Pelodiscus sinensis: one gene and its partners. The protein of the gene in region 2 binds, or shares a complex with, the protein of the main gene of each other region. Links are inferred from orthologs where the notes say so. Each region holds a gene or a part of one and is shown on either strand. Other genes may lie near its edges.

Region 1 (7,972 bases), on a different chromosome or scaffold from region 2:
AATCATACGCATATCAGATAGTCGATTAGTTGCTTACATCCCTAATGCCATCCTTACAAAGGTGAGCAGCAGCATTCAAATGCCTTGACCTTGTGATCCTCAGCTCAGAACTTTAATATTTCAGATACTGGAGTAATTACCAAATGGCAGAGGAGTGTGATTTATATTAGTTAGAAATAGGATAAGCAAAGTTGGAAAAGTCAATCAGGAAGGTATGTGGTGTAGCAGATAATGACTTAAGTTTGCCAAGTTGGAGGTGTGTGTTCCATTCCTGACTGCCTATAGTAACCTTCATAAGATGTATCTTTTCAGATAGGGGAACTAGACTTTGAACAGCATATTAAAGGTGAGATTATATATTTTTACAGTTGCCTAATATTTTTATATTGTTTTCTATCCCATGGGTTCTCAATCTGAAGGTCACGAACATCCATCTTTTCTTCTGGCTTAAAGGGAGGAGGGTCCCATACTTTTTCTGTTGTAACAAAAGACCCCAGTAAGGGAAAGACTGAAAATCATTGCTCTACCTTTGTAATCCAATCTAAGTTTTTGCTTATTTAGTTGAGCATCAAGCAGTTTATCAGGCTGTTCTAAATGAAACCATTTAGGTTTTTCCTTGTTATTGTTACAGTTCATTTAGAATCCATTAGTTCAAATGGTTATTTTGAATGTACATTCCTTGTACTTGTGACAATCAGCTAGCTTGTTGCCCAATGCTTCTTTGCCATTGCTATTCTCCCAGACTACGTCTACATTGGCAAGATTTTGCACAAATACTTTTAATGAAAGTTTTTCCGTTAAAGTATTTGCGCAAGAGAGCGTCTACATTGGCATGTGCTTTTGCGCAAGAGATGTGCTTTTGTGCAAAAGCATCCATGCCAGTGTAGACGCTCTCTTGCGCAAGAAAACTCCGATGGCCATTTTAGCAATTGGGCTTCCTTGTGCAAGAAATTCATGTTGCCTGTCTACACTGGCCTCTTGCGCAAGAACACTTGTGCAAGAGGGCTTATTCCTGAGTGGGAGCGTCATAGTTCTTGCACAAGAAGCACTGATTTCTTACATTAGAACATCAGTGTTCTTGCATAAGAACTCCTCGTCAGTGTAGACAGGCAGCATGTTTTTGTGCAGCAAAATCATGCCAATGTAGACACAGCCCAACTGCTTTCTGCTTCTGATATAAAGAATTTCTTGTTTATATATTTGATTTGCATTTCAAATTCTCACATAGCCCTCAGTTTAAATTTTATACTTCATGTGCTCTATCATATGCTCCTTTTTAATGGATAAACTTTGTAGAGACTTAATATGTTTTAGCTGGAATAAACTATTGTGTATTTTAAATTAGCCCTATCATTTTTTTCTGTGCCTTGCTGCGTTAGTGTTAATTTGTACATTTATGTATGGTATGCATGTCTATATAGCTTGCATTACTCCTACGAAAGAGTAATGCAATGAATGAATGAATCTATTTTTCTGTATCTGTAGTTTTGTTTGGCCACAGTATGTATCTGCAGCAGTGCTGTAACCACATTGGGCCCAGGATATAGAGAGACAGGATGGGAAGAGGAAGGTAATACCGTTCATTTTCATTGATTTGAAACACAAGATTTTGAGCTAACATGGCAGTCTTCTGCACAGTAACAGAGCTCTTCTTTCCAACACAAGTTAGTACAATAAAATATATTATCTAAGTGACATTACCTCCCATACACATGATCTACTCAGTCAGACTTGCTGGGTATCAACCTTCTTGTACGTTCATTTATGTGTCTGCATACAGTGCATGCTTGTGTCTTTGTATATAGACTGTGGGTCTTCATAGCACCTTTATTGTGTTTAGTTTGCATCTATCCCCTAGATCCAGTGTCTGTTCCCGAGTAGCATGTGTATCCTCATTCTTGGATGCCCCTGGATGCAATTTGCATGTCTCAATGACCTCCATTTCTCTGGTGCCTCTGTCAGACAGCATTTAGAGTATGTTTGTGTGTCCACCCCCGAAATTCCCTGGAGCATTTTAGTGTTCTCCACCCCCCAGCACAGTATGCATGTTATGTCCCACCCGTAAGCCTGCTCGGGGCGCAGGGCACTACCCTGTGTAACCCTCTCCCCCAGAGCATTAGTTCCTCCTCATGGACAGGGCACAGCACTAACCTGTACCTCTCCCCCCTGTATTAATGGCACGTCCTATGCAGGGCACTCCCTGTGCCCGCTTTCCCCTGCGCTGCAATGTTTGAGGGCCCACCCGCAGTGCAGCGCACCCCCATGCGCCGGGGCAGGATCGGTGCTCGCAGCTGTACGGCGCCTCCCTATCTCTGTTGACAGGCAGCGCCCTGGCCCGAGTGCGGGCCCGTCCCTGGCCCGGGTGCGGCCGTGGCCCCGGCCTGTCAGGCTGCGCCGAACTCGGGGTGCAAGTCCCCTCCCGGCGCCACCCGCCGTGGGGAACCCGCGGGTCTCCGGGCCCGGCTCCGGGGCGGCCCCTCCGCCTGCGCGGGGTAGGGGGTGGCGGGACGTGGGGGGGGGCGGCTCCAGAGGAAGAGGAGGAGACTCGGGTCCGGCCCCGCGCAGCGCCCGCCGCGGCCAGGCCGGACGCGGGGAAGGCAGCCCGGCGGGGGACGAGCTGGTCCCCGACGCTGCGGGGCGCCGCGGGCAGGGGGCGCCGGCCGGGGGCGCGGGGCGCTACTCACTCTCGTCGGGCAGCTGATCCAGCTCCGCCATCTTGAACGAGCCGCGCCGCTTTTTCAAAGGCTGCCTGGCGCGGTGCATTGTGGGGAGGGGTCTGGGCCGTGCGCGAGGCGGCGCTGGCGAACCCGGCTCGCGCTGCTGCCGCCGCCCGGGCTGCTCGAACGCTGCGAGGAGCGCTCGTGCTGCTGGCCGGGATGCAGCAGCGGCGGAGGCGGCGCGCGGGGACACAAAAGGGCTGGGAGGGGCTCGAGGAGCAGCGGAGACAGCTACGGCAGCCCCGGGGGGCTCCTGCTTCCCGGCAGCGAGCAGCGGTCTCAGCCTGAGCGCGCCACCGCAACTGCAGGGCTCCTCTCAGCCCGCGGTATTTGCATGCACCGTCCTTCTCCCTCGCTTCGCAATTTGCTGGGGTCTGTGCCTCACCCCCGCGCGCCGTTTGCTGTAGAGGGAGGCTACCTGGGAGCAGGAGCCGGTTTTCATACTGTTCCCGCAAAGGAGCCACTGTGCTGACCATCCTACTTGTGCTCTAGCTTTGTAAACAAGGAATTCTACCTCCTCTCCCAACTCCTCCCCCCCCCCCCAGCCTGGCCGCCTCCCCTTGGCTGAGGGAGCCGTTGCCGTGAGGCTGCCCACTGATGCAAAACACGCAATTGTTGGTGGTTTGCTCAATAATACCCTCAAGTGTCCTGCTCCGCGATGCAGCACTTCAGGCGCAACTGCATCGATTTCATAGAATACTGGAAAGGATCTGGCAAGGTCAAAAAGAAACATTTAATTGTCAGAAAGTGAGAGTAGCCATAAAGGAGCCCCTAAGGCAGTGGGTCTTAAACTTTTTGGCGATGGACCACCTGGCTTACTGCAAACCTTTTCATAGATCACCAGTTGCTAATGGAAACTCACTGTTAATTACATAATTACACCCAAGCCATTTTCGTAGTGCTGCAACTAGGGAGAACAGTTGTTTAAATTATTAAACAGATTAAGCATTTTAACTTTCTCATGTTAGTTTATCAAGCTTCATTTTACATAAAGTAACATTAATTTATGTCCAACACAAGAGGTTCCCATATTTTATTTATGGTAGCGGTGGGGAACCTTTTTTGGGTTAGGGGCCACTGACCCATAGAAAAATCAGTTAAGGGACCACACAGGAGAAGCAAAAAAACTCCAAAACCCCAACCCTCACTGATGTGACCCCCCAAATGAGACACCTCATTCTTCTGGACTCCAACCCCAAAGAGTGAAGGGGACAATGAGGACTAAGGTTTAGGATTTCCCATAGACCAGGTTTACTTTTCTGGGGTTCCAGAATTAGTGGATTTTGTGGACCCTCTTAGGCGCTGGGGTGGTGACAAAAATGAGGGCTGCCAGTGAGTGGGATAGGGATGCAGGATCTAGGCATGAGGAGGTGAGGAGGACAGGGTGCGGAAGGGAGTTCGGCAGCAGGAGAATGTGGGGGCTCGAGAGAGAGAGTTTGGAGATCGGTGGGGAAGTTATGCAGAAAAGGTGAGGGTGAGAATGCAGCCAACTAGCTGCTCAACAAAACCTTTGTGGCTGCTTAAGTGTGCTCCCATATACGGAAGGGAAATGAACACTGGTGTCTTTCTGGGTTATGATGGAGATTTGTGGTTCTTATGGCAATTATAAGACTCTGAAACTAAGTAAAAGAAGAACATTGATTCACTTTTATATGTAGATGCTGAAGTGGCTATTTATCTTAAAAATCCTAAGCCAACGAGTATTCAATATCATGGAGGGGAGAGATCTCCCTGGCTACGTCTAGACTGGCATTATTTTCCGCAAATGCTTTTCCGCAAATGCACTTTTTACGGAAAAGAGTCCGTGCCAATCTAGATGCGGTTTTGCGCAAGAAAGCCCCAATCGCCATTTTCGCGATCAGGACTTTTTTGCACAAAACAATACCGCGTTGTCTACACTGGCCCTCTTGCGCAAAAGCATTTGCACAAGAGGGCTTTTGCCCGAACGGGCGCAGCATAGTATTTCCACAAGAACACTGACAATCTTACATGAGATAGTCAGTGTTCTTGCGGAAATTCAAGCGGCCAGTGTAGACAGCTGGCAAGTTTTTCCACAAAAGCAGCTTGCCAGTCTAGACATGGCCCCTCAGTTTGACTTGTTTTCTGGCAATCCCAATGAAGTGTTGCCAGTAACTGAGGGGTTAAAACGGGCTGGAAAAGCAATGAGCCCCAGACAGACACAGCTCAGAGCCCTGGTGGAAATAACGAATGAAGGTCTGAGCTGCCAGCAGAAATATGCACTGGCATTAAAAGAAGATAGTCTGCTGGAGACCTGAAGGGGAGCAAATGTCCCAGATCTAATGCCAAGGGGTGCTATAAAATATTATTGAACAATGTACAGACCTGCCAGTTTTCCAGCAATGCCTGCAAATAGGCTGAAATTCTCATTCACACAGAATAAGGTGCAAAGATCATGCTGTGATGGAAGGGGAAGAGGGAGGCAAAGTGGAGAGCAAAGGAAAGTGCAGTTTCTGTAAAGGGAAATTATATCCCCCCCACGTCTTCCCTCTGCTCTAGCCTCACCCCCCTCAGCTCCTTGATCCCCACCCAGCCTGATCCCCTGCATCACCCCCCCCCCCCCGTGCAACCCCTGCCTCCTCTGAACCTTCCCCTACATCCTCCTTCACCCCATCCTGGCCCCACATCCCTGTGCCCCCAGCACACACAACAGCAGGGTAGCAGCACTGGGACTTGCAGCCCCCCAGGAGCAGCAGTGGGGCAAGGAGGGCTGGGGGAGGGGGGAACGGAGTCACTTCCCTGCCTGGCCCAGCCCTTTGTCCAGAGCTTGCCTCTCACCTGTAGGCTGCCACTCCAGGGGTGGGGTGGGGTGGGCAGAGCCTGGGGCTGGCTCCAGCCCAGCCAGGCAGAGCAGGGCACTGGAGGAGGGGTTCCCCACCCCCGCACACACCTCATGGGGAGCAGCTTGGTGCAGCCTAGGCTGGGCAGGGGCAGCCCCAGGGACACAGAGCTCAGCACAAGGTCATGTCGCCCACTCCACTTGCCAGGCTACTCTGACCCCTACGCCATGCAATGCCTGCACCTCCTTCATGCCCTTGCATTGTCCCAGTGGGAAGCCGGAGTTCATGCTTCAGCCTGCAGCTGCACAGTAACCACAAGATTTGAGCCACAATGTGGGCACCCTGCTGGGTGGGGATGGGGAGGCTGTGCTCAAGCCGCAGACTACCCGGGAGATGGCAGCAGACCCCTAACAGTCCACGGACTGCACTTTAAGAACCACTGCTCGCGGGACTACTATACACCTCTGCATTGACTCTGCATGCTGGTATTGATGTGTGTAAGTCTAGGACCTGGTCCCACCTTTTCTTGGGGGGTTCTGAAGAGCTTTAGCTATCCTTCTCACTTGCTCTTGAAACTGATGATAGTCATCTGGTGGGACGGGCAATGTTAAAGAAACAGCCACATCTAGGTACCCTAACGGGAAGTTCCTGAGGCCCCTTGGCACCACACTGGTGCATGCATTGTCTGATCCAGGTGCCAAGGGTAGACTGGATGAAGAATGAAGTGATAAAACAGTCTTCCCGTTCTAAGACCATTTCAAAGGCAATTAGTGAAGCTATAAGCTCTAATATGGCCAACTTGGTTGCTCTTGCTGCTGTAGTACAAGTACTAAAGAAACTGGAAAGCTCTGTAGTAATGTCTCCAAACTGGAAGTAGCGGATTACATCGTATCTGAATTCTCAGACTCAGCAGAACTGGGCGCTACACAGTGATGCTGACAGAGCTGTGGGAACAGAGTGCACTACCAGTAGATGGTAGATCTAATGCAGGAGATGGGGACCTCTGAGCAGGTGGTCACACAAGCTCACTTATTCCAAGGTAAACAGTTTGAGAGGTCTGGGAACACTTCCAAGTCTTCCAGGAGTCGGTGATACCCAGTCTATTGCCAGGACTGGAACCAGAAAAGTGTTAAAGCTCCAAACCAATGATTTATAGGATGCTGGTGAAGCTGAATCAGAAGGGTAACTTGGTTACATGAATGGTGTAACCTCTTGTTGCTCTTTTGAGCCTTGGAATATGCTCTTCGTCCATGGCTGGAACACATGGTTTCTTGGATTTGGAGGAAGACTTACTGCCCTGTTTATGCACAGTGCTTCCATGGCTCATGGATGGGCCCCAGTGTGGGGTCAGTAGAGCTGGACAGAGACTCTGTGGTAAGGGGAGAGGTCTCCAGTCAGGATTCTATTGTGACATGGCACAATGGCAACCCCCATGAGGTGTTTGTTGAGGCAGAGAGCTTGGCCTTCCCATGTTTGGTCAGAGGAGACATGGTCTGGGCTGCCCTCAAACAGTGTTGGTGCTTGTTGCTAATGGGAAATGAGCGAGGGTAAGAAATGCAGGCTCTGAATCCCAGTGTCATCAGCATAAACCAGTTCCCGGGGGGAATGACACACGACATGTGAATTGTTTGATTAGGGAATCTTGGCTCTTTGGCACTTTTCAAGTCCTAAATCCTATAAAACTTCTGGGAACTAGAAAATTACTGAAAAAACAATAAAATGCTAGCTATGAACAAAAGTAGTTTTTCCTATGAGTTTGGAAAATGCATTCCCAGGGGCGGAAGCAGCTTTGGCTAGGACCACATGGTGGTGAACAGGTATTGGAGACATGGCCAGTCCTCTCCGCCCATTATTGCCAAAACCACAATGCAGTACAAAGGTGCATGTGTGCAATATGAGTAATACTACTTTGAAAACATCTGGTTCTAGCCACATGCCCATAATCCTCATGGGATACATCACACAAAGAAAGGTAGATTCATACCATCTGTTTGCCTAATTTCACACATTTGGATCCTTTATATGGGAAACTTAAATAACTGAAATTATGAATTATGAAGAATTCTTCTGTAAGAAACCCAGTGCAATCAGTGTTTTGGGGAGGAGATTTTAGGAGAGGTTCTTTCAACAAACTTTGTGCTCAAAAGCAGTTTAATTGAGCAGACTAGGCAACACGAGCATCCAGTCTCCATCCAGCAATTCAGAAACAATACTGCTTCTCTAAAAAGGGAATTATTTTACAGCCTTTCTTCCTGTTATTTTTCAGAGTGACTGAGGTGTATCAACACAAGAGATGCACATTGCATAGTATGAATAAGTAATTGCAGCAGGGAGATTCAAATGGAGATGGTTACCTTAAATGCATTGTTTGTATAGTTTTTGCATCAAATATATAATCAGTAGAGAACATCTGATCATTATAGTTACACTGTTTATTATGGTAGCGACACAATACAT
Region 2 (7,184 bases):
GTGTGTGTGTGTGTGTGTGTGTGTGTGTGTGTGTGTGTGTGTGTGTGTGTGTGTGTGTGTGTGTGTGTGTGTGTGTGTGTGTGTGTGTGTGTGTGTGTGTGTGTGTGTGTGTCTTCCCCCTCCCTCCCTCCCGACGGAGGTCAATTTACTTTGAATGGGACTTGATCCATCCTGCATGCAATTTTAAGTGACCAAATGCTTGCTTTTGCCCTCCCCCATCGGTTCACGAATTGTTCTGGGGGTTTTGATAGGGAAGCAGGCAGCTGGCTAGAGCTGTGGCTCACAGAGGTATGTGTACCCCTTGGTGTATGTAGAGGTCTACTGGGGGAGTGGGGTGTACATCAAGTCATCTAGATAGTTGGCTAGTTTTACTACAGGCTACATAAAAACACTAGTGAAGCCAGTACACACTAAAACTTCATACAATGCCTAATCTATACTTCTCTATATACTGTGCACTGAAATTGGAACATATATACTGTACTCCTATCTTACTAGATATTTTAGAAATCTGAGACCATTAAGAGAAGTTCTTGAACAAATGGAAAGAGCTAAGACCACCAAGTTTGGTATGCAGCTTCGTCTTATCACCTGGTTTGGGGTTTCATTGTGCTAGGATAATGGGATGTGCCTGGACTTTCTCATAGAATAGAAAGGGAGAACTCGGGTAGGAAGGCCAGTTATACTGCAGAATGACGGCAGAGAGAGGTCAGAGATAGGGACCAGGATAGCTTTAACCCCATTGAGCCAGAAGGTGGCAGAGGTAGATAGCTATCTACTATATATTTCAGAGTCTGTGTCTGTCCTCTAGCCAGAGGACATGCGCGCCTCCCCTGGCTGTGCCCACTGCAGTGGTCATGGTCAGGCACTTCTCACCTGGTCCCAAGCTGCTGCAGTGAGGGAGGGCTGGGGTTGTCTTCTCTTCCCCAAAGCAGCCTGCATCCTGGACCTCTCAGCCCAGCCCCATTCCAGGGCAATGATTTAAATGAAGGAAAAATAAAAATGGAGTCAAGGACCTGAGCAACACCAGGTAAATCTTCTAGTAGATTTAGAATTACATGGCTAAAAATGAGAAAATAAGCAACTTTTCAGTAAGTGTTCTGGGACTTTTTTTCCTTTTGTAAGCAAGTAGTTTAAATGAGCTGAGACTTGAGTGTACCAATACATCAGATTCCTGAAGGGGGTGCAAAAGTCTAGTAAGATTGCACTGCCACATTCCTTTAGGTCAGTGGCTTTCATCTGCTCAAAGGTTTAGTTAACTTGTATGTAGGTGCTGAGTAGAGATGAGAATGGTTAACCCATGCCTGGGAGCAGCCCATCTTACCCCCCCTCCCCACTCTACCATGGGGGGTGCTTGCGGGAGCAGGAGCCAGCACCATTCTTCATGCTGGGCTTGGCTTCTGCCTCCTGCTTCCACCACCACTTCCTTCTCTCCCCCCCCATGGGGGAGGGGGAGAAGGAGGGACTTAGCTCAGCAGAGGTGAGTGACTGTGATCGTGGTTGACTGGGATTTTACAGCCCTAGTGCTCTGTGTTTAGGTACCTACTACAGTAACCAGGAAATTTCTGGTTACTGTAGTATCAAAACTGGGCTTTATGTACCTTTTGGATTTGGCCTACATGTTAAACTAACTTCCACATTCTTCAATCTGTTACACCACCACTGATGTCAATCTTCTCAGATAAATTAATAACTCTTCAAAGCCCCTAACTTACAGACAATAGGGGGGGTAGTCTAAAACTACTCTAACCCAGTTAATAGACTGGTGAAGTCATGTTTTTCCCCTATGAAGGGAAAAACATACGTCTCAATTAATTGCAACTGAGACCCCAAAAGCTACCAGCTGCTGTCTGTTAGCTCTAGGCTGTGGCTAGCTAATATCATTACCATCCCCCATTAGGACAGGAAGTAAAGTGCTCTCTGGCCACTGAAAGGGCAGATCTAAATGCACAACCTGCAAACACCTGGCCTGGAACCAGGGTTATGCTGATCAGAGTCAGGAGAGGGAATAACTTCACCATTCTGAATGTGGAAGTTAGACTGTGGGGAGCAAGTAAGAGTTTTCTATCCCAATATGTGAAACCCTTCTGGCTCCTGAGTTCAAATATCTCCTGCGGGGTGGGGCCGGGCTGGCAGTCTCATGGCTGCGTTTGGGGAGGAAGTCCCCTCTCCCGCTGACTGCTCTGTAGCACTAAGTGACAGCGGTACCCCACAAGCTGCCCTACCACTTCTGTCGTGCTGGAGCGATTTCTCCGGGGTTGACTTTAAGGCAGAACTTAAGGTTTTTCTGCGGGAAGAGCCATTCACAGTCTCATCCCGGCATCTCTGCCCCGCTTCATCGCGGGTCACGCCCCTGAGTGAGCATCCCCCCACGGGACTGGTCCCTGGGGGGGGGGGGGGGCGCACAAAGAAGCAAGAGGGCTGCTCACAAGCGCCTTTCCCTCCGGGAGCCCCTCCCCACTTAGAGGGGGGCGCTCGGGTCCGGGACCGAGACCAGCCTCTCCCCCTCCCCGCGAAGGGAGCTGCTGCCAATCGCCTGCTGGGCGCAGGCTCAGCAGCGCTCGGGCCCGGGCGAGCAGGCGCGGCGGCAGGTGGGTGGGCGAGAGCAGAGGGAACCCCCCTTGTCCCGTGTCCGCCCGCGCCGGCCGGGAGCAGCCCGCCTGGGGGGGAGCAGGGCCCGGCTCGCCGAGTGGCCGGGGAGGGGAGAAGTTACTTAACCCCCCGGGCTGAGTCAGGCCCGCTCGGCCCCTCCCCGGGAGACGCGGCGGCCCCGGGGAGCCTCGCCGGGAGGGGGGGGGCGAACACGTGCGGTTACCTCAGCAACGGCCCCCGGGCGGCGGGGCGCGGCAGGCCCGCCGCCATGCCCCGCTCAGCATCCTGCAGGCCGCGCTCCGCCTAGGCCGGGCGGCGCGCTCCGCCGCGGCGCGCCCAGAGCGGGACACGGGAGGGACATGGCGCCCGGGGAGCCAGCCCGGCGGCGGGGCTGAGGATCCCTCTTCAGGCAGGAAGGAAAACAGCCGGTGGGTACGGGAGCCTGGCGAGGACAAAAGAGGGGAGAGCCGAGCGGACCCGCGGATGTCACTGGCCCCGCTAATCCTCCTGATTGTAGTACAGGTAGTCCCCGGGTTACATACAAGATAGGGACTGGGGGGTTGTTCTTAAGTTGAATTTGTATGCAAGTCGGAACTGTACATGTTGTAGGGGAAACGCTAGCCAAACATTTCTCCAGCGCTCAGTTTTATTCTCCCACACCTCACTTCCCTCAGTCCTTTATTCTCAAGCTGAGGTGTCTGCTGAGAAAAGCCGCTCCGCGTCTCCCTGGTCTGCTGGGGGGGGGCGCTAGCTCCGCGTCTCCCTGGTCTGCTGGGGGGGGGGCGCTAGCTCCGCGTCTCCCTGGTCTGCTGGGGGGGGGGGCGCTAGCTCCGCGTCTCCCTGGTCTGCTGGGGGGGGGGCGCTAGCTCCGCGTCTCCCTGGTCTGCTGGGGGGGGGCGCTAGCTCCGCGTCTCCCTGGTCTGCTGGGGGGGGGCGCTAGCTCCGCGTCTCCCTGGTCTGCTGGGGGGGGGGCGCTAGCTCCGCGTCTCCCTGGTCTGCTGGGGGGGGGGCGCTAGCTCCGCGTCTCCCTGGTCTGCTGGGGGGGGGCGCTAGCTCCGCGTCTCCCTGGTCTGCTGGGGGGGGGGGCGCTAGCTCCGCGTCTCCCTGGTCTGCTGGGGGGGCGCTAGCTTCGCGTCTCCCTGGTCTGCTGGGGGGGGGGCGCTAGCTTCGCGTCTCCCTGGTCTGCTGGGGGGGGGGGCGCTAGCTTCGCGTCTCCCTGGTCTGCTGGGGGGGGGGGGGGCGCTAGCTTCGCGTCTCCCTGGTCTGCTGGGGGGGGGGGGGCGCTAGCTCCGCGTCTCCCTGGTCTGCTGGGGGGGGGCGCTAGCTCCGCGTCTCCCTGGTCTGCTGGGGGGGGGGCGCTAGCTCCGCGTCTCCCTGGTCTGCTGGGGGGGGGTGCTAGCTCCGCGTCTCCCTTGTCTGCTGGGGGGGGGGCGCTAGCTTCGCGTCTCCCTGGTCTGCTGGGGGGGAGGGGCGCTAGCTCCGCGTCTCCCTGGTCTGCTGGGGGGGAGGGGCGCTAGCTCCGCGTCTCCCTGGTCTGCTGGGGAGGGGTGGCACTAGCTTCGCGTCTCCCTGGTTTGCTGGGAGGAAGCAGCTAGTGCGGGGTTGCCTCACCCCGTTTGTAAGTAGGGATCCGATGTAGGTCGGATCCATGTAACCCGGGGACTGCCTGTATTGCAGAGGGGTCCCCATGCTAGACACGCCTCGTGTCCACTCAAGGCAGAAGTAAGAACAGGCTTAATGCGCAGCAAGATGCTCTAGGTTAGCTATCGGTAACGCTTTTTGCTAGCCTAGAAGGGCAGTTAGGCTGCTACGGGTACTTGTGGAATCTCTGAAGCAAAATACAGGACTATGTAGCACTTTAAAGACTAACAAGATGGTTTATTAGGTGATGAGCTTTTGTGGGCCAGACCCACTTCCTCAGATCAAATAGTGGAAGAAAATAGTCACAACCATATATACCAAAGGATACAATTAAAAAAAAATGAACACATATGAAAAGGACAAATCACATTTCAGAACAGAAGGGGGATGCAGGGGGGAGGGGGAGAAGGAAGGTAAGTGTCTGTGAGCTAATGGTATTAGAGGTGACAATTGGGGAAGCTATCTTTGTAATGGGTAAGGTAGTTGGGGTCTTTGTTCAATCCCCCCCCCCCCCCCCGGGAGAGTGTCGAATTTTAGCATGAATGACAGTTCAGAGGATTCCCTTTCAAGTGCAGATGTAAAAGGTCTTTGTAGTAGAATGCAGGTAGTTAAGTCGTTGAGACAGTGTCCTTTCTGGTTGAAATGGCAAGAAATTGTTTTTTCTTTGTGATCCTGTCTGATATCTGTGTTGTGGAATCTCTGTGATTCAAGGTAATAACACATACAGATTGTAATTTTTTCACAGACTACATGAAGACGTCATGTTGGAGAAGTGAAGCACCATTACCCCCATGTCCTAGAGGGGGGTGGGAGGAAATAACTATCTAGTTCAGGGATATAGAGCCAGGAAAAGGTTTCAGGTCCCACTTAAAATCTCTATTTTACAAGCTTGGCAAGTCACTTCTCTTAATTTTGCTAAATCACAGCGAAGAACAGATCTTGGATCTCATGCCTCCAAGACCTGGCCTTTAAGAGAAGATGTTCCTCTTTGTTTCTAAAGCACCTGAAGCCTTTTTTCATGTAGGAGTTATGTTGGGGCAGTTTTTAGTCACCTTTTCTTGTGCAAATGTGAATGAGTAACCCATTCCTTAAGTAACAGTTAACCGGTTCCCTTGGAGCATCCAGCTCTACATGGGGTGGGGAATGGGAGCCCCATAGACTGGGGGCTGCTCCATCCAGGCTGGAGCACTACCCCACTTGGAATCCTGCTTAATCAGTTAACCAGTTAAATGTTAGGAATCCCTTAGTCAGTTAACTGATTTAATCAAGATTTTACATCCCTATTTGCAATTTAGGAATGTGCCAGAGGGTTATCAGGAAGGCGAAAGCAAAATTGGAATTGCAACTGGCAAAGGATGTGAAGGATAACAAGAAAGGTTTCTACAGGCATGTTAACAAGAAGAAGGTGATCAGAGAGGGCGTGGGACCCTACTGGATGAAGGAGGTAACCTAGTAACAGATGATGCGGGGAAAGCTGAAGTACTCAATGCTTTCTTTGCCTCTGTATTCACGGACAAGGTCTGCTCCCAGCCTAATGTGCTAAGTGATGCAATATGGGACGAAGGAGGACAGCCCTAAGTGGGGAAAGAACAGGTTAGGAACTATTTAGAAAAGCTAAACGTACATAAATCCATGGGTCCGCACTTAATGTATCCGAGGATACTGAGGGAGTTGGCAAATGTCATTGAGGAGCCTTTGGCCATTATTTTCGAAAAGTCATGGAGATCCGGAGAGATCCCGGATGATTGGAAAAAGGCAAATGTAGTGCCCATCTTCAAAAAAAAGGGAAGGAGGACGATCCTGGAACTAGAGGTTGGTCAATCTTACCGCAGTTCTTGGAAAAGTCATGAAAGGGATCCTTAAGGAATCCATTTTGAGGCACTTGGAAGAGAGGAAAGTGATTAGGAATAGTCAGCATGGATTCACAAAGGGCAAGTCATGCCTGACCAATCTGATTAGCTTCTATGATGAGATAACTGGCTCGGTGGACATGGGAAAGTCAGTGGATGTGATAAACCTTGACTGTATCAAGGCTTTTGATATGGTCTCCCACAATATTCTTGTCAGCAAGTTAAGGAAATGTGGATTGGATAAATGGACGGTAAGATGGATAGAAAGCTGGCTAGAAAACCAGGCCTGGCAGGGAGTGATCAACAGCTCGGTGTCAGGATGGCAGTTGCTTTCTAGCGGAGGGCCCTAGGGTTCAGTTCTGGGACCAGTTTTGTTCAACATCTTAACTAATGACCTGGATGAGGGGATGGATTGCACCCTCAGCAAGTGTGCAGATGACCCTAAGCTAGGGGGAGAGGTAGATACGCTTGAGGGCAGAGATAGAGACCAGAGTGACTTAGACAAATTGGAGGATTGGGCCACAAGAAATCTGATGAGGTTCAGCAAGTACAAGTATAGAGTCCTGCACTTGGGACGGAAGACTCTCAAGCATTGTTACAGGCTGGGGACTGAATAGCTAAGTACAGGCAGTCCCCGACTTACGCGGATCCGACTTACGTCGGATCTGCACTTACGAACGGGGCTTTCTCGCCCCGGAGGTCGAGGTAGCGGATTGCTACCTGCGAGCTCCGGGGCGAAAAAGCCCCGTTCGTAAGCTGCTCTGGTGCCCATGGTCTGCTGGAGACCATCTCCAGCAGACCAGGGGCACCGGGCAGGGTGCCGCGCCTCTGAGGCTTTGCTCTGGCAAAGTCTCAGAAGCGTGGGGAACCGCCGCTGCTGCCGCTTCAGTCCCTGTGCCTGTGGTCTGCTGGGGACCGTCCCCAGCAGACCACAGGCACTGGGACTGAAGCCGCAGCCGCGGGGGGTCCCGCGCCTCTGAGACTTTGCCAGAGCAAAGCCTCAGAGGCGCGGCACCCCGCTGCCGCTGCGGCTCTGCTCCCGGTGTCCCTGGTCTGCTGGCGGGGGGGGGGGTGCGGCTAGTGTGCCCCGCCCCCCCAGCA
Region 3 (7,871 bases), on a different chromosome or scaffold from region 2:
AGCATTGCAAGGTTGATGGAAATTCTATTGACTACTCAATTAGCTGGTAATCAAAATTTAACATCGCTATATAGGACTCAACCCAAGGTTTAAAGAATCTGAAGCACCTTCTAAAATCTGACAGGTATGAGGTAAGGAGCATTCTTTCAGAAGTCTTAAAAGAGTAACACTGATATGGAAACTACAGAACCTGAACCACCAAAAAAGAAAATCCATCCTTTTGCTGGTGGTGAAAATGATGATGAAAATGAACATATGTCGGTCTGCTCTGGTTTGGAATGTTATCGAGCAGAACTCATCATCAACATGAACACATGTCCTCTGGAATGGTGGTTGAAGCATGAAGGGACAGAAGAAACTTTGCAGTGTAATTCAACAGTGCATGTGAACAATTGTTCTCATTTTTCAGGTAACACTGTCTGAGCAACTGGCTGAACAGCAGGACTGAATGGACTTGTAAAACACTAAAGCCTACATTGTTTTATTTCTGAATGCAGTTTTTTATATCTAATTCTACTTTTGTAAATTCAACTTTTATGATAAAGAGAATGCTCTATACTACTTATATTAGGTGAATTGAAAAATATTATTTCTTTTAATTTTAGGGTGCAATATTTGTAATAAAATATAAAGAGAGTACTGTTCACTTTGTATTCTATATTATAATTGAAATAAATATATTTGTAGATGTAGAAAATATCTAAAATATTTAAATAAATGATAGACTATTATTGTTTAGCAACAAAATTATTGGCAATTAATTTGTTTAATTGCTTGGTTACTCTAATTTTAACATACTGATGATTGGTGCTCCAAGCAGATGCAGATGCAAGATTGAATATGGACAGCACATCAAAAATTCACATAGCCTGAACTATATTTATCTGCATGTGTAATCCAACATGCATCAAGTCTTCAGTCAACAATGCATAAACACAACAAATACATACTTACTTGCTTCTACAAAAGCTTTCAAGGCTTCTAGTTGTTCCACTCCTGACAGTTGAATTGCTTTTTCCAGTATCTGACGATATCTGCCCATAGATTTAAAATTAAAAAATGTATCACAATTAATATCCTTTTATTTAAATATCCCCCGTGGCATTTGCATTTACATGGCTGCAGCTTTTTTCCGGCTCTGGGTTTTTGCCGGAGAAAAGCGCCAGTGTAGACGCTTGAAAGTAGGAATAAGGGATCTTCCGGAAAAGGGCTTATTTTCCGGAGAATCGCGTCTACAGTGGCGCTTTTCTCCGGCAAAAACCCCGAGCCGGAAAAAAGCGGCAGCCATGTAAATGCAAATGCCGCGGGGGATATTTAAATCCCCCGGGGATATTTAAATCCCCCGTGGATTTGCAATTCCCAAGTGTCTCATTAGCATCCCTTTTCTGGAAAGGGGTGCCAATGTAGACACAGCCTATATGTTTGGTGGTGTTTTTTAGGGCTTTTCCCAAGAGACCCTGCTGCATAATACCAACGGCGCAGAAAATACGTGATTTTTTAAAAGGAATTTAAAGCTCGGACGCCTCTCTCCGTACAATTGCTCTGGCTCTAGAAAAAGACACAATGGGCATCAGATGGGTTCTTTTGTCTTTCAAGCCCAAGGCTCTGGGAACACCGACTGTTCTGAAACGGACAGTTCAGCACCAGCCTGCAGCATCTACAGCCCCTTGGTTAAATTAAATGGAGAGGGGGGGGGGGTCTGGTTAATCCCCCCGCCCCGAGGCAGCGGGGGAGGGGGGGGGCGGGGTAGGTAGGTGCAGTCGACAGCATTGACCAATAATAAGCGCAGGTTTTTCCGTTAATCCGTTTTATCCGTTAATCGTCTGCCATTCACGAAGTGACAAGACAGACCCGGGCGCCTCCGCCCTGCCAGGCACAGGGGCCGCGGCTCGCGGAGGAAGCAGGACCCTGCAACCCCCGACTAGTCCTCAAGCACCCGCCAACCGCCTTCACCTCAGCCGGGAGCGCCCCCTCCCCCCAGCCCGGCCCGCACTCACTTCCCCGCCAGGTCCTTGTGGGAGCCGCTGGAATTCATGAGCTGGGCCAGCTCCTGCCTCACCGCGGCCGCCATCTTGTCTCGCGCAAACTGACAGACGCGGTCCTCCCCCTGCCAACGAGAGGGAAGCCGCCGCCGCCGCGTCCCCGCTGTATCATAGAGGAGCGTCGGCTAGAAAGGCTCCTGCCCCTGAGAAAAGGGTCACGTGACGCCTTCCCAGCCCGGAGTCCTTCCCTCCTCGCGAGCGCTGCTGGCCAGTTGCTGCCTCCCTGGGATGCGGAAGGGCTGATCCGCCAGCGGGTTGACGTACTGACCCGGCCCCACACGAAAGCAGACTCTGTACCTGGGAGGGGACCCTCAGTCCCTTCCTCCCTCTAAGGCCAGGAGAGGCGCTCTGAGCTATTTCTCCGGAAGGTGTCATTCCCAGTATTGCCCGCCTGGCTGGTGCAGATGGCAGGTCTGGAAATGCAGGATCTCATGCCCCAGTGAGAGGGATGGATGATAAGTTCTTTCCTTCCCATGCGGTCTCTCGGGTCAGAGAAGGAAGCAGGGCCAGAGCCTGATGAGTGGAATATTTTGTAGCTCTGTTTCTTTCCGAACTGTGTTGCTTGTCGGCTGTGTTTCAGTGGTGTACACAGCATGGCTGTCGTACATACGTTATCAGAAGATTTCAGACATTACAGTATTTATTTTCCTTTTCTAATCTGTGTATAGCGTTTTATCTAAAAGTAGATGAATAATTATACTGTTCCTATTTTACCAGTGTATAACTGAGGTCCGGATATGTAAACTAAAATTTTCAAATATAGCACCTACATACAAGAGTGCTGCTTTTCATAAGTGGAGAGGTGGACTCAGCTCATATTTCAAAAGGAGTGTTCTATTTACTTAAATGTCAGGCAGCTATCTTCAGGATTGTGCTTCAGCTGGAACCATGGAAAGAGACTGAGATCAATTTTTTTTTTTATTTTTTTGTACACTGACATTTGAGTTGCAAACACTGCAGATAAATGTTTTAATGGAGAGAAAACCAATAATTAAGAGGTGAGGAAAATTCCCTTGGTTTGTTCATACCCTACAAATAAGTGGAGGATACCTATGGTACAGAAGCTAAACAGAATGAATACATTTCCCTTGCAAGAGGGTGTATGCTCAAGGTAAAAGCAATGCCATATGTTGCACTTCCATATCACCTTTCATGAAAGGTTTGCCCAGTGCTTAGGAAGCTGTCACTTGTTAGCCCATTTTATAGATGTAACAAGACTGGAACCACTCACTGCCTGTTTTTCAGTGTCTTGACTTAAGGGCTACGTCTAGACTGGCATGATTTTCCAGAAATGCTTTTAACGGAAAAGTTTTCCGTTAAAAGCATTTTCGGAACAGAGCGTCTAGATTGCCACGGACACTTTTCTGCAAAAGCACTTTTTGCGGAAAAGCATCCGTGCCAATCCAGACGCGCTTTTCCGCAAAAAAGCCCCGATCGCCATTTTCGCGATCGGGGCTTTTTTGCCGAAAACAAATCTGAGCCGTCTACACCAGCCCTTTTGCACAAAAGATTTGCGCAAAAGGACTTTTGCCCGAAAGGGAGCAGCATAGTATTTCGACAAAAACACTGACAATCTTACATGAGATCAGTGGTTTTGCGGAAATTCAAGTGGCCAGTGTAGACAGCTGGCAAGTTTTTCCAGAAAAGCGGCTGATTTTCCGGAAAAACTGGCCAGTCTAGACACAGCCAAGCAGCTTCAGAGGGATAGCTGAGTTAGTCTGTAACAGGAAAAAATTTAAAAACAATAAATAGTCTAGTAGCATCTTAAAGACTAACAAAACATGTAGATGGTATCATGAGCTTCCTGTGACAAAACCCACTTCTTCAGATATATTCCAGTCATATGAAGAAGTGGGTTTTGCCCATGAAAGCTCATATCACCCTCTATTGGTGCGTCTAGACTGGCAAGATTTTGCATAAAAGCATCCACTTTTGCACAAAAACTTGCCAGCTGTCTACACGCTGCTTGAATTTGCGCAAGAGCACTGACTTTGTAATGTACAAAATCAGTGCTTCTCGCGCAAATACTTTCATGCTCCTGCTCAGGAAAAAGCCCTGCGCAAGAATACTTGCTCAAGAGGGCCAGTGCAGACAGGGAATAATTGTTTTACGCAAAAAAGCCCCAGTAGCTAAAATGGCGATCGGGGCTTTCTTGTGCAAAATCACGTCTAGACTGGCCACAGATGCTTTTGCGCAATAACACTTTTTGCGCAAAAGCATCCGTGCCAATCTAGATGCGCTTTTGCTGAAATACTTTTAACAGAAAAACTTTTCCTTTAAAAGTATTTCTGCAAAATCATGCCAGTCTAGATGCAACCTACATGTTTTGTTAGTCTTTAAGGTGCTTCTAGTTTTAAGTTTTGACTTAAACAGTTTCTATCTATGGGGCAGTATAGCAGAGTGCACGCATCCAGTGCCCAGAAGGGTGCTACAAGTAGAGGAGGCTGGAATGCTTACCCAATGCATCACTATCGCCAGGCCTCTCTCAGCTGTTCCCCAACCATTTCAGATCAGTGGGAGACGCAGGCTGCACACGCAGCACCATACACACGCACACCCGGGCTCCTCCTTAAGGCTCCACCTACCCCTGCTTCTCCTCTCACCTTGCGCACTTGCCAGCCCTTGCGTGCCTGTGCAGCGGCACGTGACATGGTCACGAGCCAACGGGATGCGATGACGCACCCGGAAACGGCTGGAAGGAAGCGCCGGCCCCAAAGGGCGGGAGAGGGAGGAGCTGCGCTCGCTTGGTGACGCTATGTCGGTTGCCAAGGCGGCGCTGCGCATTATTATGGGATGTGGCGGTGGAATGGCGCTGGGCGCGTGATTTTGAACAAACACGGAACCTGTCCCTGGTGCTGCCGCTGCTGAGAGCGGCGCGCGAGCCCAGGGGGAGGAGGAGGGGGCAGCCGCGGCGCGAGCCCGGGGGAGGGGGGAGCGCGAGCCCGGTGAGTGTGAGCGCGGGGGGCCCAGCGGGGTGGGGGGAAGGGAGGGAGCAGGAAGGGGTGTCAGGGGGGAGCCCAGCGCGTCGCCGTGCAGCCCCCCCCCATCCCTGGGGGCCACCCGCTCCCTGGCTGCGGGGACAGGCCGGGGAGGGGGACCCCGGCTGCAGCGCCAGGAGTCGGTCCCCGCTGCCGCCGCCTGGGCGCAGCTCCCGGGGCGGGCGGCGCAGGCCCGGCCAGCCCACGGCGCAGCCCTGCGCGGCCGCTCCTGGCGCTGCGCCCCTCGGGCACCGGGGATCCGGCCGGTGCAGCCCCGGCCTGAGCTGTCTGCGCGGCTGCCTTGGCAATGCAGGCGCCGGGGCCGTGCCCCGCCAGCGGGTGGGCCTTTGTGGCTTGTGCCCCGGTGTGTGGGTGTATTGACTGTTTGTCCCTTTGTCACTGCCAGTCCATAGTAGCCAGGGAAACAGCCGACCCTGCGCGTGAAAAATAAAATCATTGGTTATGTGTGACTGTTCTGACGAATGGGTTGGCATTTTAAAGTCATTTGTGTAATATATTGAATAGTAAGGAGGAGCTTTCTTTATGTGGCTTTAACCCTAGAAAATGTTAAGGAATTCAAGATCTCAAGAGCTGAGACTCACTGCGACATGCTCTTTTTCAGCAAAGATCAAAAGGAGAGAAAAGCAGGGCTTACAGTTTGGGCCCTCATTCTAGCAATCTCTTGGGGGAAAAAAATCAAAATAAACGTGCCTAGTATTTTCGCTTCCCCTGCCTGCCTCATTATATAAATAAGGATGTTTAGATATAGGGCAGTATATAGAGTGTGATGAATCATTACAAAAGTTCATCTTGATGTGCATCTCTGCAGTACAAAATGGCATGCCACATGTCGAAATTGTCAGCTTTATTATGGTAGTGTTTTGCAAAATTGAGAATAGTAGAACTAATATCAATGCTATATTGGAAGATGAATCTAGTGTTTTTTTGTTTTTTTTAAAGATACAGCTACAATTAGGTCAAATTTATAACTGAAAATCACATAGGTAAATGCAGTGGGCTCATGTGTGACTTGTATACCTGATGAATCCTCCCACATATCTAAAGAAGAGAGGAGGTTCTCTGACTCTGTTGAAGTTCTGAGGATATTTCTTTTCCTTTGTAAGCTGCCTCTTTGTTTGGTGTTTGGGGGGAGAAGGGTGTCCCATTTTTGAGGTATGACAGCTTCTAAGTCAGGGATGGGGAACCTCAGATCCACAGCTTGCCCGAATCCAACCCCAAGGCTCAGACCCCCCCTTGCATGAGGGATCTTGTGCTGGCGCTCTAGCTCCAGCTCCCTGCCCCATGGTGGGGCAGCACACAAAATATATTAGGCTGGGCCCCCCAGGCGTGGAGAATGTGTGGAGTGTCTTTCTCTTAGTCTGAGGGTTTTTTGTGTGTGGCCCTCAACTGATTTTTTCTGTGGGTCAGTGGCCCTCAACCCAAAAAAGGTTCCCTACCCCTGTCCTAAGTATTGAGAGCATTTTTGTTTTGTGTGAGTTGTAACTTTTTTTAAGGAGTTCAGGGCCAAATGTTTGACTTTTGGCCGTCTCCCCTCCATGTCCCCAAAAAGAAAATACAGGCCAACTGAAATCAGATGCAACAGTACCAGTGTCACCTCATTTGCACTGTCTCATTGGGATGTAAAAGTTTTAACTGGTTAAACTTAGCCTTACCAGCATGCTTACCTGGTAACCAGTTAAACCATGGTGGGTCCAGCTGGCTGGAGCAGCCCTGTGGTACAGTAGGCCAGCAGGCAAGAAGCCAGGCTAGAGATGCCAGCAGCTCTGCACAATTCCCCCACCCCCTCCATGACTGACAATTTAACCAATTAAAATTACATAATGTAGCACTGGTTAACTTTTTAATTGGGTATTTACATCCCTAATGTCTAAGTGATCACCATTTGTTGGTTGGGAAGGAATTTTCCTCTGAGTCAGATTTCCAGTGACCTTACGGTTTTTTACTTTGTGCTTGCAATATGAGGTGCAGGCCATTTCTCCCAATTATCAGAGTATATCTCATTTAATCAGTTCCCTGCCATTGCAGTTGCCTTAAACATTGGTGCCACACCTCAAGTCCCTATTATTCTGAGACCTTTTACAAAGTTAAGTCAAAATACAGCAACCTTGATATTTACTGTGGTGAATCATGTCTATGGTTCTGTTGGTGGTCAGCTGAAACCCCCATCCCTAGGACTGAGCGCCACCAGGCAATGTAAATAATGCAGTGTCTACACAGGACTGTTGCCCTGAATGCATCAATGCAAGCTCTATGCCTCCTGGAGTAATGGGTGACATGCATCGTCAGGAGCAACGTTGGAGTGTAGACACTTACAAAGTGAGATCTATGTAAGCTGCTTTATGCTGACTAACTCTGTAGTTCAGACCAACCTTCTAGTTTCCTATAGGCTGTAATATTTTGGTCTAATTTAGTTTGCTTGGTTTTGTGTGTGGGTGTCCTGTGATATACAGGAGGTCAGACAAAGTGATCTGGTAGTTCCCTCTGGGCTTAAACTCTAACTTTGAAGGATCTTGTATGTTGATGACTAATTGTTTGAAGAATCTTTATGTGAGATCCTAGAATTCTTGGCTGGAGAGTAATTTATTTTTTTGTTTTTATTTTCATACTTTTGTGCTTTAACTAACAAATATTTTAATACAGCAAATATTTATGTTTTTCTTAAGATTGCTGTTTTCTGATACATTTTACAAAATGGCCATGTGACTGTTTTAGAAGTGTTGAATGGAAAAAACGTAGTGCAGTAGCCTAGTGTCAGAATGGTCAGTGTCTTGTTACTTCGATACAATCATCTAGAATTTCACTTTTGGGTTGGTATCTTATTTTAATCTAA
Region 4 (7,676 bases), on a different chromosome or scaffold from region 2:
TGCCTGTGTTCCAGGCTGTGATTACAATCCCATGCAGTATCTTTGGGAGCCATTATATTAAATGTATTAATGTTTATGTATGAATGTGTTTTACTTGATTGGAGAAGGTTACTAACTATTCCAGGAACTTTACAACCTCCAGGGTAGTCATCCCCTCAGACCTAATTCCAACAGAAAACCACTCCACCCCGCCCCCCTAGTATTTGCACATATCAATTCAAACTAGGTTTTCCAGAGACTCAAAGAAGGGGGTACAAAGCTGAGCTTGAACTGACACTGAGCTTGAACTGACACAGAGCTTTTGTTTTGATTAAGCAAACGGACAGAGCTTCCTGTCCAGGGGGGTTCCCAACCCTTGCAAAAGGATTGGAATGACTTTGGCTTACTTGGGCCTAAAAGACTGATGGTGCCACTATTATGGTGCCACTGGTGTTAAACTAGGAATGTGCATGACTTATCTGATGGTCAACAAACAAGTTGACTAGTTGCTTCCCCCCCATCCCTGCTGCCTCTATTAGAAAGAGGCTGCCGGGGGGGGGGGGAGGGAAGGGAGGAGAGGGCAGGGGGTACTTCAAAGCAGCAGCAGTGCATGGAACCTGGGGCCAGACATTGGGCTCCATACAGCACTGCTGCTTTGAAACATTGCGTGCAGCCCGGGGCCAGATGGGGTGTTCCCAGGCTGCATGCAGCATTTCAAAGAAGCAGCACCACATGAAGCCTGGGATCAGCTGGGGATTCCAGGCTCCACGCTGCGCTGCTGCTTTGAAATGCCGCGAGGAACCTGATGCCGGGCTCCCTGAGGCATTTCTAAGCAGTAGCAGCACATGGAGCCCAGGGTCACCGGGGAGTCCCTTGCTGACTTCAGACTCCATGCAGCTCTGCAACTTTGAAACACCTTTGAACTTTCGCCTTTGAAATGTAACAACAGCCCTAGGGTGGAGGCATCCTATCAATTAATCAAATAGTAAATTGCATCGACTAGTCAGTTACTTGATCAATTGCATCAATTAGTTACTTGAAATTTAACATCCCTATGTAAAACCTAAACAAAGAATGAGTGGTCTGGACTCAGGCCCACCGGTAGCTACACAACTGCTCTTCCAGACATTTTTAATCTGCCTAAAAATTAAGGTAATTTTTTTAGCAATAATGAAGCGATACTATGAGTTTGGCAGTCAAAAATAGAAAAACAATGAAGGCGAAGGTAAAAGATGTAGCTAAGGAAAAAGACAGTTTTGTTATCTTATTTAAAAAATCTTGAAGTACTGAATGAAGGACATTCATTAAAAAGTAAGGGTGAGAAAACATCTCAATTATCTGATCACTTGCTGAGTTGTGAGGATATCATGACATAAGAACGTAAGAATGGCCATACTGGGTCAGACCAAAGGTCCATCCAGCCCAGTATCCTGTCTGCCGACAGTGGCCAATGCCAGCTGTCCCAGAGGGAGTGAATGGAACAGGTAATGATCAAGCGATCTCTCTCCTGCCATCCATCTCCATCCTCTGACAAACAGGGACACCATTCCTTACCCATACTGGCTAATAGCCGTTTATGGACTTTATCTCCATAAATTTATCTATTTCTCTTTTAAACCCTGTTATAGTCCTAGCCTTCACAACCTCCTCAGGCAAGGAGTTCCACAGATTGACAATGAACTGTGTGAAGAAGAACTTCCTTTTATTCGTTTTAAATCTGCTGCCCATTAGTTTCATGGTGGCCCCTTGTTCTTATATGTTGACAACTGCAAAAGTTGAACAAGTGGATTGGAACTACAAAATACTGGTAATTTTGTCGAAGTAAGGGAAGAAACCTACCCTGAAGATATTGCATTATGGCCAAAATCTATTTCATTAGATAGACTTGTTGTTGCCACAGTAAAGCTTGTGTCATCTTTGGGACTACCTCTGAGAGGACATGATGCATCATTGAAAAGGTAATTTTTTAACCTGTCTTGAATATCTTAATGAGTTTAACAATTTTCTCACTGAATATTTGAAAATTATCAGTATTGTGGCTCAGGGAAAACCAACTTTTTAACACACCAAATCTACAATGTGTTCATTATTATAATGGTAGAGCAGTTCAGAAACCAATTCACTGATGAAGTAAAGGCTGCCAAATATTATTCAATAATAGTCAACTGAACACCAGATGTGAGTCATGTACACCAATTAACATTAATTTTAATATACGTGACTGGCAATGGTGAAGTTATAGAGCGATTTCTTTGGTTTTTTGTTGGACTAAAATCCCACACTTCTGAATGTTTAGAGACAATGGTTTTGGAAATCATTGCAAATTTAGGTTTGAACATCAAAAATAGTTGTGGACAGAGCTTTGATAATGCCGCAAATATGTCAGGAAAATATTCAGGTCTACAGGCAAGAATGAACAATGAAAATCCCTCTGCTTTATTCATATCATGTTCCCAGGCAGTCCTTAAATTTAATATGCAATGCTGCAGCCGCTTATTATGAAGGTGCTACACATTTTTTTTTTTTACTTCAAAACACCTATGCTTTTTTTTGTTTGTTTTTGTTTCCACAGATCAGTGGAATACGCTATAATCACACTTGGAGCAGGCAAATGGAAAACACTTTACAGTAAAAAGAATTTTTGACACCAGGTGGTTTGCTTGTGCAGATGTTGTTTTGGCTTTCAAAATGAGCTATGATGTTATAAAGAAAACTTTATTAGACATAGCCACATCAAGTTCTGAAAAACCATGTGTGAAAACTGAAGCAAACTCCTTAGCAGAAAAGTTTGAAAAGAATGATACTGTTGTTTGATGAAGAATTGATGAAGTCAGCAAATCACTGCAAAAAGTTTATACACATTTATTGAATGCTGCACAATGGTTAGCCTCAGATACAAATTTTGTCATGGAAGTTCGAAATGACTATAGGTCTGTGGAAGCAGAGGCACTAACATTAACAGAAAATATAGGTTCCTTTGATATATCTGATGAAAAGCATAAAAAAGTAGGAAGTTATCTTCAATGAAACTAGAAACAATGAAATCAATTTAAAAGGCAACGAGAAGATCATCATTGAGATCATCAGTATTATTTGTAACACAGTAGTAGTGCAATTACAGAGTAGAGATGAATCTCTAAAGAAAACTGTTAATTTAATTTGCATGGTTTTTTTCTGACAGAAGTCTAGATGAAGATGCTAAAAGCCACTACAGTAAGAAATTAAGTGAATTCTACTGAGAGAACATAGACAAAAATCTTTTTGCAGGTGAAGTGAAACATTTCTTTCATTTTATCAAAAATTATGAGATCTGTGCTTCAGAATCACCAGTTGATTTGTATAGCCTTTTACAGGATGGTTTGCAGGCAACCTTTACAGATGTACAAACCATTCTGAAAATATTTTTAATAATACTTGTCACAAATGCTTCTGGTGCACATCCTTTTTCTGTATTGAGTTAAAAATTATTTGTGAAATACGATGAGTCAGGAACATTTGACAAGTTAAGCAATGTTGACAATTGAAAATGTCTCTCTACAAAATATTACTTAACATGATTTAATTGACAATTTTACAAAGAAAAAGTGTGGAAAGAAAGCTATCTGAATATTTTTTTTTTAAACAGAGTAAGTTTCTTCAGAGGAAGTTAACTTTTATTTTTCCATTCATGCGTCATCCATATACTTTATTTTTACATATTTTTCATGTTAGGTTAATGCAAACACAAGCTTTCATTAGACCAGAAGTTCTCAAAACTGTGCTCTGAGAACTCCATTCAAGTGGACTGAAGAAAGGTTATTATGTTTTGTTTTATAAAGCGCTCTTATCCAAAGTACTTTACAATAGTCATCTAATGGTACAGACAATATGTGGAAAGATCATTAAAAAATAATCACTTTATTTTCATTTACTTATTAATTATAATACAGGAGGAGGATCAAGAAAAAAGAATGAAAAATGGGAGGACACAAAGAGTTAATGTTCTTTTTCGTGGCTCAAAATGAAGTTAAGCACAGGGCCCCACTAACTCTAAATCCGCCACTGCTTGGTAGTCTCATTTGTATAAAATATTTAGATTATTGCAATTTGAGCCTCTTAGCACATGTTAAAATATGAATGACCGCAGTCACAAACTAATATTACAATGTCCTTATGAACTACTTAATGAACTAGTCAACTCCCAGCCATTCTGCCTTCCACGGTTTCATGCAGGGCTGGATTGGGTTACTTTGGTGGTTTGACCTCTGTATGCCCAAGTACTTCCACTTCAGCCAGAGCGACGTGATGGGGCTGAGCCTGGGGGACACACCTGCCGAGGGTGTGGATATTGTACGATGGGGGTCCCACAGTTGCGGTCCTTCCGGCCATGCCCGGGCCTCACGGGAGATCGTGTCTCCGCTCCTCCCCCGAGAGGGGTGTGAGCGGCGAGGGAGAGGCGGTTAGTCTGGGGCTCCCCGTGCTGGCGGAGTCACTCCCCCCCCCCCGTGTGTGTGTGTGTGACCGAGCGGGGAGCCCCGCCGGAGAGTTACTCCTTTGTGTGCAGGGGGAGGCAGCCGGGCCAGGGCTCACCCCGCCCAACAGGACCAGGGCTGACGCCGCCGAGAGGCCAAATCCCGCCCCCGGGGTGCGGGCCAGCACCGCCTCGGGCCGCTCGAGGCTCGCTCTGCGCCCTGCCCCCTGCCCCTCGGGGATTGGCGGGCGGGTTGTGTACACACAAGGCCGCGCCAATGGGCGGCTGGCGGCGCCGGCCCTCACGCGGCGGGGCGGCCAATGGGAGAACGCACTTGTCAGACGCCGCCAAGCTTGTGCGGGGGAGAGAGGGAGCCGGGCTCGGTGCGGCTGTGGAGGGAGCCGGCGAGTGGGCCGGGCTGGAGCACGGTGAGTGGGGCTGGCCGGGACTCTGCGCGTTAGCGGGGCACCCTCTCGGGCGGCAGCGCAGAGCCGAGCCGGCCGGGGGCGCCTCCGGGGGCCGGCTCCCTGCTAGAGCAGCTGGCGAGGGAGGAGCCGTCGCCGGGCTCCTTGTCTCGGCTCCGGTGCTGGCCAGGCCCATCCCGCTCGGGGCCTGCGGACGCACGGGGCGGAAGAGCGCGCTCAGCTGCTGCTCAGCCTGGCTGCGCTGTCCCCTCCCCCACCGCGCGCACCGAGGGGCTAACGGCCGTTGTGCGCTTCTCCCTGGGGGCCTGCCCGGCGCCCTGACCCGGGGCCGCTGCCCTGGGCATTCGTCTCCCCGCCCAGAGCCCCGGGTGCTTGGCACCTGGGAGCCGCTGTCCCCGTTCGCCGCCGTAGCGAGGTGGCACAATGTGCCTGGCACGCAGGCCTGTGCCGGGAGCTGGGCTGTGCCGTGTGACAGCCGCCCGGCCTGGCGCTTCTCGCCTCTGCGTGACACCCAGCTGGAGGTCACGGAAGTGTCTGCCCGCGCCTTGTAGTTGGTATCTCCGCCCGTCTCCTCTCACCCGTCTCTTTCCCGGGGAGAAGGGAGTTTCTGGGTAGGGGTGAGAGGATTCAGGAGTCTGCTGTATTTGGTCCCGTGTGTAGCCGTCTGCTGCTTAATTCACTTGGTAGTTAGGCTGTGTCCTAGCTGGCAATGTAGTGTTCTGTCAGTTTCAATGAAGAAGCATATCCTTAAACAACGAAGTTCTGATGTGCAGCACAAAGTTAAGATGTTTTGCACTATAAATGTATGCGATGCTTTGAAAAATATTTGGGGGGCACTTGAAACTGCTTTCTTTTTCTCTGAGCAAGAGACTTTAAAAGGTGTGAAATGTGAAATATGAGACTCTTTCTGCTCCCACTTGAGGTCAATAAGGGAAGGCCAATAAATCTTCTAAAGGTATAAGAGAGGTGGAGGTAGACTTCACGTTTCAGAATGCAAACTTTAGTCAATAATCCAGAAATAGTGCTGGAAAAACAAAATGTAGAATTAGCAAACCATATACACAAAAGGGTTGGAAAGGTATCTTTGCTGAAGTTCATTGAAATTTCAGTTGGTCTGTTTTACTTGTGAGATGGGGGTGGGAGATCATGTTAAACAGTATGTGGGGAAAACTTGCATGGTTTCTTGCTGTGGTTATTTGTTCTATAAAAAGACAAATCCAGAGTTTAAATCCTATCTGGCACCTCTTACAAATGTTAAACCAATTTAATAGAAGACTGTATAGAAATAGAGAGAGAGAGAGAGAGAGAGAAGCATTGACTACTGGGAAGTCTTAAGTGTGTTGGAACTGTATTTTAAAATACCTCAACTTCTGAATAGAAACTGAAGAAAAACATTGTCAGTAAATGTCTGGGTCATATATCATCTGTCTTTTCTCTCAAAGAAATGTTGTTATGGTACAGTGGTTTATGTATTCGTTTGATGTAGGGCTTGATAAAAATATGTTTGTATGCTAGAATATACTTATATGTTTTTAAGTGAATAAATCAAGTTAATCCTCTTACTTCAGACTATGCCCACAAATCCACTTGATCATATAATAATATATTAATATTTTATATTGAAAGCATGTCAGTTCTATGGGAATGGAAGTTCCTGATGCATTATTGATTATATTATGATACAAATTAGAAAGTATTTTACAGTTCAGCTATTTATGTTTATAAACAAAGGTACCTACAACTTCAGAACTATTTAGAATATTGTATGTACAGCAGAAGTGCCCTAAAAGTACAAGTGTTTGGGGAAACAACAGGTGCCTAATTGTGGCCCCCACCTCCTCATGCTATCTCTTTCTCCCCAAACCCTGCTCACTTTTCTTCTCCTTTTGCCTGGTTGCTAGTAAGAAGTAGAGATGTTAAAATGCATGTAATGAAGTAACCGCGTAACTAGTGGTTACACACAGGATGGCAGTTGGCTCATCGGTTAACTGTTTACATGGTTAAACATGTTCATTGGTTAACCGTTTACATCAGTGTTTCTTAAACTATGTGCCACAGCACACCAGTGTACCGTGGAGAACAGAATTCAAAATGGCCACCCTTAAAGGGGCAGGCGACCTTTTTTTGGGGGGGGGTTCAATAACTTCCCCTGATGTATTCTCTCCCCTTCCCCCACCTTTTTTCCCCTCTCTCAACAAAAAATCCTTGGTGTTCCTCATTTAAAAAAAAAAATTGTTTGGTGTTCCTTGGTCTTAAAAAGTTTAAGAAACACACGTTTACATGGTTACACTTTCACACCCCTAGTAAGAAGTGGCCAAAAAAAAGTGAGAGGGGCATGGCTCCTCATCTGGTGCTCCTGGTGCAGTGTGTTGAGGAAGTTTGATAAGAGTTGGGAAAGGAAGAGAGAAATTAGGTAATAGGAAAGAAAAATGACATGATAGGTATCTACAAGAAAGAAAGTACTGAAATCTCTCCTCTTCCCAAGTCAGCTTCTCTTGTTTAACAGGAAGTATTATCTCTAGAGGAGACCTAGGAGTAATAGGTCAGGTTATTTAGGCCTACCCTAAAGCAAGAAGAAAAACTGGGAAATAATTCTTAAGTGACTCCTATTTTGTTATTAGTGGGCACTGTTTTGTAATGAGAAATTTCTGAGATAAATCTTATATTTTTCTTTGTAAACCCTTATGGTTCTTTTATAACCACTTCCTGTGTGTTGAAAAATCATTGTACTATAAAGAATGAAAAGGAACGGTTTGATGCAAGTTAGCTTTCAGTGGACAGTTAACGACTTCATATAGCTACATAAATTAATTTAACATTAA

What was found. Proteins that work in one complex are often made in the same cells at the same time.
Region 1: the proteins of MYBL2 (region 2) and LIN9 are in contact, whole or in part, in a crystal structure (PDB 6C48), measured with the Homo sapiens proteins. The link is inferred for Pelodiscus sinensis from reciprocal best matches to the Homo sapiens genes MYBL2 and LIN9. Residues at the interface, in NP_002457.1 of Homo sapiens: Trp663, Ala667, Cys668, Gly669, Gln674, Met677, Gln678, Ala681, Arg682, Leu684, Leu685, Arg687; in NP_001353174.1 of Homo sapiens: Lys356, Gln385, Arg386, Tyr388, Ala389, Thr390, Val392, Leu393, Leu395, Glu396, Asn399, Leu402, Asn403, Leu406.
Region 3: MYBL2 (region 2) and LIN54 share a complex: the UniProt entries of both Homo sapiens proteins name them as parts of the DREAM complex. The link is inferred for Pelodiscus sinensis from reciprocal best matches to the Homo sapiens genes MYBL2 and LIN54.
Region 4: MYBL2 (region 2) and TFDP2 share a complex: the UniProt entries of both Homo sapiens proteins name them as parts of the DREAM complex. The link is inferred for Pelodiscus sinensis from reciprocal best matches to the Homo sapiens genes MYBL2 and TFDP2.

Annotation. Positions count from the first base shown.
Region 1 is NC_134713.1:157,381,667-157,389,638, forward strand, and holds the start of LIN9 (protein lin-9 homolog), read right to left. Parts: upstream 3,018-7,972; 5' UTR 2,764-3,017; coding exon 2,685-2,763; intron 1-2,684. UniProt on the Homo sapiens protein: Acts as a tumor suppressor. Inhibits DNA synthesis. Its ability to inhibit oncogenic transformation is mediated through its association with RB1. Plays a role in the expression of genes required for the G1/S transition.
Region 2 is NC_134728.1:29,651,151-29,658,334, forward strand, and holds the start of MYBL2 (myb-related protein B), read right to left. Parts: upstream 3,015-7,184; 5' UTR 2,863-3,014; coding exon 2,816-2,862; intron 1,063-2,815; coding exon 877-1,062; intron 1-876. UniProt on the Homo sapiens protein: Transcription factor involved in the regulation of cell survival, proliferation, and differentiation. Transactivates the expression of the CLU gene.
Region 3 is NC_134715.1:11,686,379-11,694,249, reverse strand, and holds the start of LIN54 (protein lin-54 homolog), read left to right. Parts: upstream 1-4,854; 5' UTR 4,855-4,987; intron 4,988-7,871. Other genes in the region: COPS4 (COP9 signalosome complex subunit 4), read right to left, coding at 955-1,034, 1,998-2,071. UniProt on the Homo sapiens protein: Component of the DREAM complex, a multiprotein complex that can both act as a transcription activator or repressor depending on the context. In G0 phase, the complex binds to more than 800 promoters and is required for repression of E2F target genes.
Region 4 is NC_134720.1:21,211,029-21,218,704, reverse strand, and holds the start of TFDP2 (transcription factor Dp-2), read left to right. Parts: upstream 1-4,659; 5' UTR 4,660-4,706; coding exon of another isoform or gene 4,707-4,749; coding exon 4,750-4,857; intron 4,858-7,676. UniProt on the Homo sapiens protein: Can stimulate E2F-dependent transcription.